2 linked regions of the Cricetulus griseus genome follow. The protein of the gene in region 2 purifies or fractionates together with the protein of the main gene of each other region. This does not show direct contact. Links are inferred from orthologs where the notes say so. Each region holds a gene or a part of one and is shown on either strand. Other genes may lie near its edges. The genes, in order: Ap2m1 and Bmp2k.

Region 1 (3,917 bases), on a different chromosome or scaffold from region 2:
AGAAAGAAACACAAGGTAGGAAGTACCAGAGGAGCCTAGCCTCAGGTTAGAGCAGTGGAGGATCTTAGTAAGCAAAGCGCCACGGTGTAAGGCAGAGAAGCAAAGCTGCAGGGAGCTCTCTGTAAGGTCTAAGGGACTTAGGACATGGAGAGAACTACAAAGGCAGCATGACCCACAGAGCCCTTCAAGCCTGTTCACAATCAGAAAGGGCCCAGAAGTGAAAACAGCCAAGTCAACCCACCAAAGAGGATTTTACAGGGATCTAGGGAAGACTCTCAATATGAGAAGCATTTTGAAAGCAAGATTTGGATGGATTAGTGCCTCGCCCTGGTACTAACTACACCCACTGGAGATAGATAGCGCTCCCTCCTGAATGGAAGAATCAACCTGACTGGGAAAGCACTCATCGTTAGCAACCAGACCTAACCCTCAGAGATACAGGAACAGGAAGGGCGGGGATTCATTCCTAAGCCTGGCAGCTTGGGGGGAGGGTGTCATTCCGAGGGCCCGAGTCTCGATGCTAGGCCAATGGCTAAATGGAAACCAGGCTATATTGCATGCTCAGGCTGAGGTGACAGGGAGGTTGGGGTACAGCATGCTCAGCCAAGGAACTTACCCGATGTCATCTCTGTACACCCGGGAGATGAGCACCTCCCCCTTGTGATTATAGATGAATAAACCTCCAATCATGGTGGCAGCTCAGTCTCTGTGACCCATTGCTCTGAGAACAGACCTATGAAGGAAAGGTGGGGGTAGGGTAAGGGAAATCTTCAGAACCCTTGCCCAAGCCCCCAGTGGGGCTATACAGGCTTGGCTTTTTTCCTGACTCAGTCCTCTAACAAGTGACCCTGCAGCTTTCCTAGGGAAGCCCCACCTCCTCAGCTAGGCTCCAGTTCCTGTTTATTCCACACTGGATAGGAGAAAGCAATTTCAGAGCGTGGGGGCCCATGATTAAGGTCACATTCATCTAGTCTTTCCCAAGGGTTGGGCCAGAGGGTAACCCCCACCCCTTCTTCACAGTGCTGAGCTCAGCAAGGATTCTTTCCAACCCCCTGCTGTGCAGGCTCCAATTCAGGCTCCTTCCAGTGACTCACTGAGAAGGCCTGCCTGCGGTTGCAGAAATGGCAGTAGAAATTACTCTAGTTGGCTTGAGCCTGGGACCTCCACCAGGCACAACCTTAGAGCAAGCACTAACTCTTCCAGGAAGGCAGCAGAGCATGAACCTCTAGAAGTCTACACATTCCAGGAAAGGGTGTGCAGGAGGGGGTAGGGGAGGGAAAGCAGGCCCATGGAGGCAGGAAAGTGGCTGAAGCAGGTACATCTTTCCCAGGCAGTGAGATAAGCAGGCAAAGGAGCAGAGGCCCCCAGTGCTGACAAAACACACTTCATAACCCAAGTAGCTTATTATAGTTCTTCCTAAAAAAGATTTTATTTTACCTTCATGTATGTACATGCCAGTGTGTGTGCTGTGTGTATGGAAGCTGGATGTGAAGCAGTGATGAGCCACCTGACATGGGTGCTGGGATCTGAACTCAAGTCTTCTGGAGGAGCAGTAAGTACTCTTAAATCGCTGAGCCTCTCCTACAGTAATTTCTGGTCACTGTCCTTTCAAAATTTTGAAGTGCATTAAAAATAAGGTCTGTGTGTAGCATTAACCCTCCCATCTAAATTATGATCTACCAGTAATTCACTTCAGGCCTGGTATTTAGAAACAATGGGCAGGGATCATAGAATGCCTCAATTGTCCAAAGTATTTGGGTCAAAACTAATTTAGACTATTGGAGAAAAGGGGTTATCTGGTTCTAGATTTTCTGGATTAGCCCAGGTATTAATTTCACAGGAGTTAGTTTAACAGACTTTCTGAAACTGGAAAATAAATCCAAGACCAATGACAAGTCTCTTAAGGTGGTGGACTCATTTGCATCTCACAGTTCCAAAGAAGCTGAGAAAAAAAAAATGTAAAATGGAGGTTGAGTCCTGAGCAAAGGACTAAGTCCACAGGTAACAAGCAGAAGGTAGCTCAGGGCACTGGAACCGCGGATGGGGGTTGGTTGTACTTGTGTGTGTCCTGGACAGACATGGAATATTTAGTTAAGGGAATGGTTAGCTGTAATTGCTAGCAATATACTAGGGTGACCCCACAGCAGCTAAGACGGCTGTGCGAGGCCCTAAATTAGTTCTCATATAGCAAAGGTCATAGGTGCTTTTGAGGAGCAAAAATCGGCGGAGACATACTGACAGTAGAAAAAGGGAAAGCTGAGAGACAAGGCCTACTCTGCGGTTAGTGAGGCTTGAGAAGCCGGTGGGGTTTTCTCAGCCAAGGGAGGAGATATCCAGGCCAGGGAGATGGCACCGCGGCATGCGGGGGCTGTCACAGGTCTGAGGAGAAAGAGCCGTGGGGGTTAAATAGGAGGAAGGAATATCCCAAGGTTCGAGACCTGTCACTGTCCAAGGGAGTGGCACAAGGGGATGTCACTGTCCTGGGGGATGGGGGAGATGGGACGCCTCAGGGCTGAGCGCTGCCAGGATTCTAGGGGTGGGGGCGCCGCGCGGCGTCCTGGCTCTAGGATTCGGGCCCCTGTCTCTCCCCAGAGACGCCCGGCGGGTCACTGGAGGGCGTCGCTCCCCGCCCTTGCTGCAATCGCGCCCGAGGCACCTCCGCCCGGTCGTCCGCTCCCTCCCGGGTCTGAAGGCTGAGGCCACTCCCGGGTGCGGGCAGTTTTGCACCCAGGGCAGTGCAGGGCACGGCCGGGGTCCACGGCGCCCTCGCCAGCCCGGTAAGGATCGGTAAGTCCAGCTTCCCAGCTCACCTGGAGTCAGCAGCCTCCACAAGGCCGGCGGGCCACTCTCGGATCCCAAGATGTCCGCCCGCCCCCTGCTCGCCTGTCCGCTGCCTCGGCTTTCACTGCAGTGCTCCCGCCCCGCCCCGCCCCGCCCTGATCTCAGCTGCGCCTGCGCACTTGCCTCCAGCGGCGACTACAAGTCCCGTCAGCCCCCGCAGCTTTCAAACTGCTAAATCAGAGCGCCCTAGGTTTAGCAAAACTACAACTACCGACGGCCTTCGAGAGAACCGACGCGAGCCTTAGTGCGTCTTGCTGGCAACACGCGTCATAGTACACTCCTCCCATTCATTTGCTTCATTGAGTATCATGGGAAGTGTAGTCTCTGCAATCCTTCCAATTCCTAGTTAGATTGTTTCGGTAGGCTTTGAGAGATCAAAGCTGTTTGTCCAAACCAGTTGTAAATTTTGAATTACTGTAGTCTGTAATTGTCTTCAGATTCCGAAGACTGGCTATCTTCACTTTACAAACAGAACTTGGCATGAGCCTGTTAGAGCTGAATTCTCTGCTTTTTAACACCAGGATTGATTCTCCCAAGGTAGGTGTCGATTACAATCATGACTGGGCCTCTCCCAGGGCTAATTATCCAAAGAGAAGAGTGGGGAGGGCAAATCTTGGCAAAGCTAATTCTTGGCAGAACTAGGTAACGCTTTTCTCAGCTAAACCTGTGACTATGTGTGCTGGTGGTGCACTCCTTTAATCCCAGCACTGGGGAAGCAGAGGCAGGAAAATCTCTGTGAGTTCGAGGTCAGCCTGGTCTACATTGGGAGTTCTAGGACAGCCAGGGATACATAAGAGACCCTGCCTCAACCCCACCTCAATTTAGTTGGGCATGGAATTAAGAAATTCCATCTCTCATGTTATCCAAACTGAGAGAATGAGGTGGAGCTAACCCTGGACACAAAAAGCCTGCCTGGTTCTTGCCAAATCAAGAAAATGTGGTTCTTGTCCCTCTGTAGGCAGAGACATCCTGTTGCTGAGCAGGCCCAAGACTTCTATATGGTGGAAAGGAATGGGGTGGGGTGGAATGGGGAAATCTAGTTGCTAATCTTACTATTCCTAGCAACCTCCTTCCAG
Region 2 (3,817 bases):
TCCTGAAGTTAAATTTCTATATAACCTCTGTCCTCCCACTTTTATCAATATGCTTCGCTAGGGACATGATGATAAAGATTTTGGCAAAACTCCATTCAATGTATTATTTCTAAAGTACCAAATGTTGCTTTTCTTTTTGATGTGTCATTATTTTACATTTTTCAAATGCCAGATATTTCTCTTTACGTTTTTGTTCCAGGCTTCTATTAAGCATTCCATGTTTTAAAAATTTATTTTTGACAGATTAAAAATTGCATATATATTATCATATACATGTTTTGATGTATATACCATAGGAAGAGCTAAATTGAGTTAACATATACAATATTTCATATAGTTTTCATTATAGAGTCCATTATTAATGGCACTTGTTTTTAAAAATGCAACAGAGTTTTAGGCACAATAGTCAGTTACTTCTGGCTCTACATTACAGGCAAGTGTATGAACTGAAGAGCACACTGCAGGCTGTTTCCTCCTGGGTGCAAACATTCAGTCAGCCTGGCTTGAATCTCTGGACCTGGGGTGTGCACCTGTATGACATGATCCCAAGGGATACGATTTCCTGTCCCTCAGTGGCCATACACCTGCGTTCCCAGGAAGCCCCACAGTTGTATCTCTCAGGAGCAAAAGCCCTTGGAGCTTTCCACTTAGGCCCACTTAGGCCTTTCCACTTAGGCCACTTCATGCTCGATGAAGGCATTCCTCACTACCCTGTACAGATACTTACATTTGGTTTGTTTAAAAATCACCTATTCTGATTAACCTGTAAGAGTGAAGGATATACAAATAGATTTTCTTTCAGATTCATAAAACTATTCATACTTTTTTTGAAACAGGAGTTATTGCCGAGTCCACCTGGAGTATCTACTGTTTAGAAGGAAATGGAGCAGCACCAAATGGGTCTAATTCGACTGGTTGGGACTGTTGAGACTCACGTGGTGTAACAAGTTCTGTAAAGGGCACGGCACCGAAGTCATCCATTCTCAATGCGTCTGCACTATGGAATGACCCGTGCACTGAATTCTGTCTTGGCCTCCCAGGCAAGATGGTATTGTGGTCAACACAGATGTCGCTTAGGCCCTGATGGGACTGGTGCCACGACAAGTCTGGAGGATGGAAAGGCTTGGCACCAAAGGGGTCCAGCAGACTCTCCTCGGGTTGCAGGCCACTGCCTCTGTCTCTGCCATCAGTCAGTGCAACGCTGATGTTCTCCTTCGAGTCGGAAATTGTTAAAAACTCACTGCTGCTTTGTGAGTCTCTGCGGCCCACCTTCTTGTGTCTGCGGGCCCTCTCGGGGGTGCGGTAGGGAGGCTTCAGGGGCTTCTTTGAACTGGTGGGTGTGCCGTGGTGGCGCTTCCCATTGCTTTTGGACACATCCTGCTTTGTGCGCCTCTGGCGAGAAGTCAGTTTCTGCAAGCTGCGCTGTTTGACTTTCTGCTGCTGACTTCCGGTTATTTCCTCAAAGGGCACGAGCCCAAAAACATCCTCCCTGCTCTCACTTCTACTCGCTGATGTGGAAAATGGCTGAAAGGGAGTGGAGCCAAACATATCTACACTTCTGGGCCGTGCAGGCAACGGGCGCGTGTCAGGCCCCGCTGTGGGCCAGTCCTGTACATTATTCACCTTCTTGTTGAAGGGTGCCCTTGTGAACACATCAAAGTCCTCCTGCTCCGGAAATGTCTGCTGGGAGAGGTTCTTCCCGTTCCCCCTGTGCTGCTGCTGTGGAGCTTGCACCGCGAAGAAGGGAACCGCACCGAACACATCAAACTCCTGGCCAGGAGTCAGCGCATCAGTCGGTGAACAGGCGGGGGAGAGGAGTGCTGGGTCAGGGGCTGGGCTCCGCCCCCCACCAGTTTCGTACTTGGCTTTAGCCTGTTCATACTCCGAGTCAGAGCTGTGTTTGTCCTCCTCTTCCTCATCTTCAGAGTCCATGAGCAAAGGCCTGTGACCCAGGTTCTCGGGCTCGGTGTCGTCATCATTAAAGTCCCCGTGTTCTCCCTGAGCGTCCTCATCTTCTTGTTCTTCTTCACTGCTCTTAGGAGAAGGGGGGTCCGATTCAAAATCGCTTTCAGATTCGTCATGCCCCTTCTGCACTTGACCCCGAACCGCTGGGTTCTCTGGGGTTTTCTTTATAGCCCGCTGATCTTTACATAGTGGACTTGCGCTCCCATTTTTGGTAGGGTTTGCAGTGATATTTTTTTGATTTGGAGAACGTTCAGTTTTCTTTTCAGGAGAACCTAAAGGTTCAAAGAAAAGTCATTACGGTATTCAGAGTTTCAGTATCCACTTGTACTAAGCACATGACATTACGGACCTCGCCAGGACCCCTCCTGGAGGAGAGTGCCGTTCTTTCTCTGATCTTTTCCTGGGTAGGTGTTAGGGACTGTAATGCAGGCAGTGTGACATATTCTCATCTCCATAGGCTTGGCATAGTCCCTCACTACAAAGAAACTGCATTCACAGCACCTGTACAATAGCAGGACCCTCAATAGGACAAGAATATTAATGGTCTTCTCCACTGTCAAAATCAGACCACCCACTCTCTTTACTATAGTCTCTGCCTACCTACATGTCAGCATGTTGTTTTCTGTGTTATGTCTGCAATCTGCTCTCTAAAATTGAGTATTTTAAGTTAGTATCCATGTGTCTCACATAGACTGATCAGAGCTGAGAACCAACTCTGACACAGCCACTATCAAAGACACTTAATGAGACTGCACCAAAGCTGTGTGCCTTCCATGGCAGGCACATCTTTAATTAAGAAACCTTAGTTTATCTGAGAATATGCTACTGGTCTTCTGAACTGGGTGTTTCCAGAGGTGAGAATCAATTTGTATTGATCCAATTACACACACTTATCTCTTCCTCTCCTTATTTAACTAAGGGTTTTTTCCAATTACTGAGGCCTGCAAGTACAATATGTACTCATAAAAACTAATTAGCTTATGGTGGAGGAACTATCACTTTCCATCATGCACACAGTGATCTCTGGCATGGTGGCCTCAGTTATTTCCTTCTCTTCAAAATCCACACTGTCATGTTTACAACCCTGTAGACCTCTTTCTTCCACTAACACTTTAAACACCTTAACTATATACATTCCCCCAGAGTTCTAGCTTTGGCTGTTTCTCCTTCCATATTCTCTCAAGTTCTAAACTGTACAGTGACTGCCTTGTTCTGGTTGACACTAGTCTTCTTAACTCGACTCTTAATCCTAAATTCCAGTTTGACATCTCTAATACTTAGCTCCTGTGACTATGCATCCTACCAGTACTTGAAAGGTGGGAATTTCAAGGCACCACCTCCACTTTTAGGATGTATTCATCTCCAGTTCCCGCTAAATTAACTTCACCTCCACCTATATGCAGGCCTCCTGGCCAGCAGATGTCCAGACCATCTCTGTACCAGTTATTGTAGCTTTGGTTTCTTGGATCTACACCATTCTCTCTGGTTTATTCATTCCCATATGACCCCTCCCAGAGTGACTCAGTTTCCCAGTGTGCTTCCCCTCCTCACCATTATATGGCTAGCACTCACAGGACTCTCTAGTTGCTCTGAAACTTTCCACTGTGTGTGCATTCTACCCTGCCATGTCTTCAGCTACCAAGAGTGAATGCTTCTGTGATCCTTCAGTACTATAACCACAGCTGGGCTCTTCCTATGAAAACCCAGCTCCTGAAAACTAGGCATCAGAGTCAGGAACTCAGCAGACTTCGGGAAGTCCAGAGAGCTTTGCTGTCCCAACATCTCTCAGTATGAGAGCCCTTCTACCTCCCCCAATCCATCCGAAGGGCTTGTGAACATGTATTCACAAAAA

Evidence for each region.
Region 1: the proteins of Bmp2k (region 2) and Ap2m1 purify together in Homo sapiens (affinity purification with mass spectrometry; 3 studies listed by BioGRID and IntAct, counting the BioPlex papers as one, with this or other methods). This does not show direct contact. The link is inferred for Cricetulus griseus from reciprocal best matches to the Homo sapiens genes BMP2K and AP2M1.

Annotation. Positions count from the first base shown.
Region 1 is NC_048597.1:68,100,475-68,104,391, forward strand, and holds the start of Ap2m1 (AP-2 complex subunit mu), read right to left. Parts: upstream 2,932-3,917; 5' UTR 2,811-2,931; intron 734-2,810; 5' UTR 691-733; coding exon 617-690; intron 1-616.
Region 2 is NW_023276807.1:159,391,554-159,395,370, reverse strand, and holds part of Bmp2k (BMP-2-inducible protein kinase), read right to left. Parts: intron 2,238-3,817; coding exon 865-2,237; 3' UTR 1-864. UniProt on the Homo sapiens protein: May be involved in osteoblast differentiation.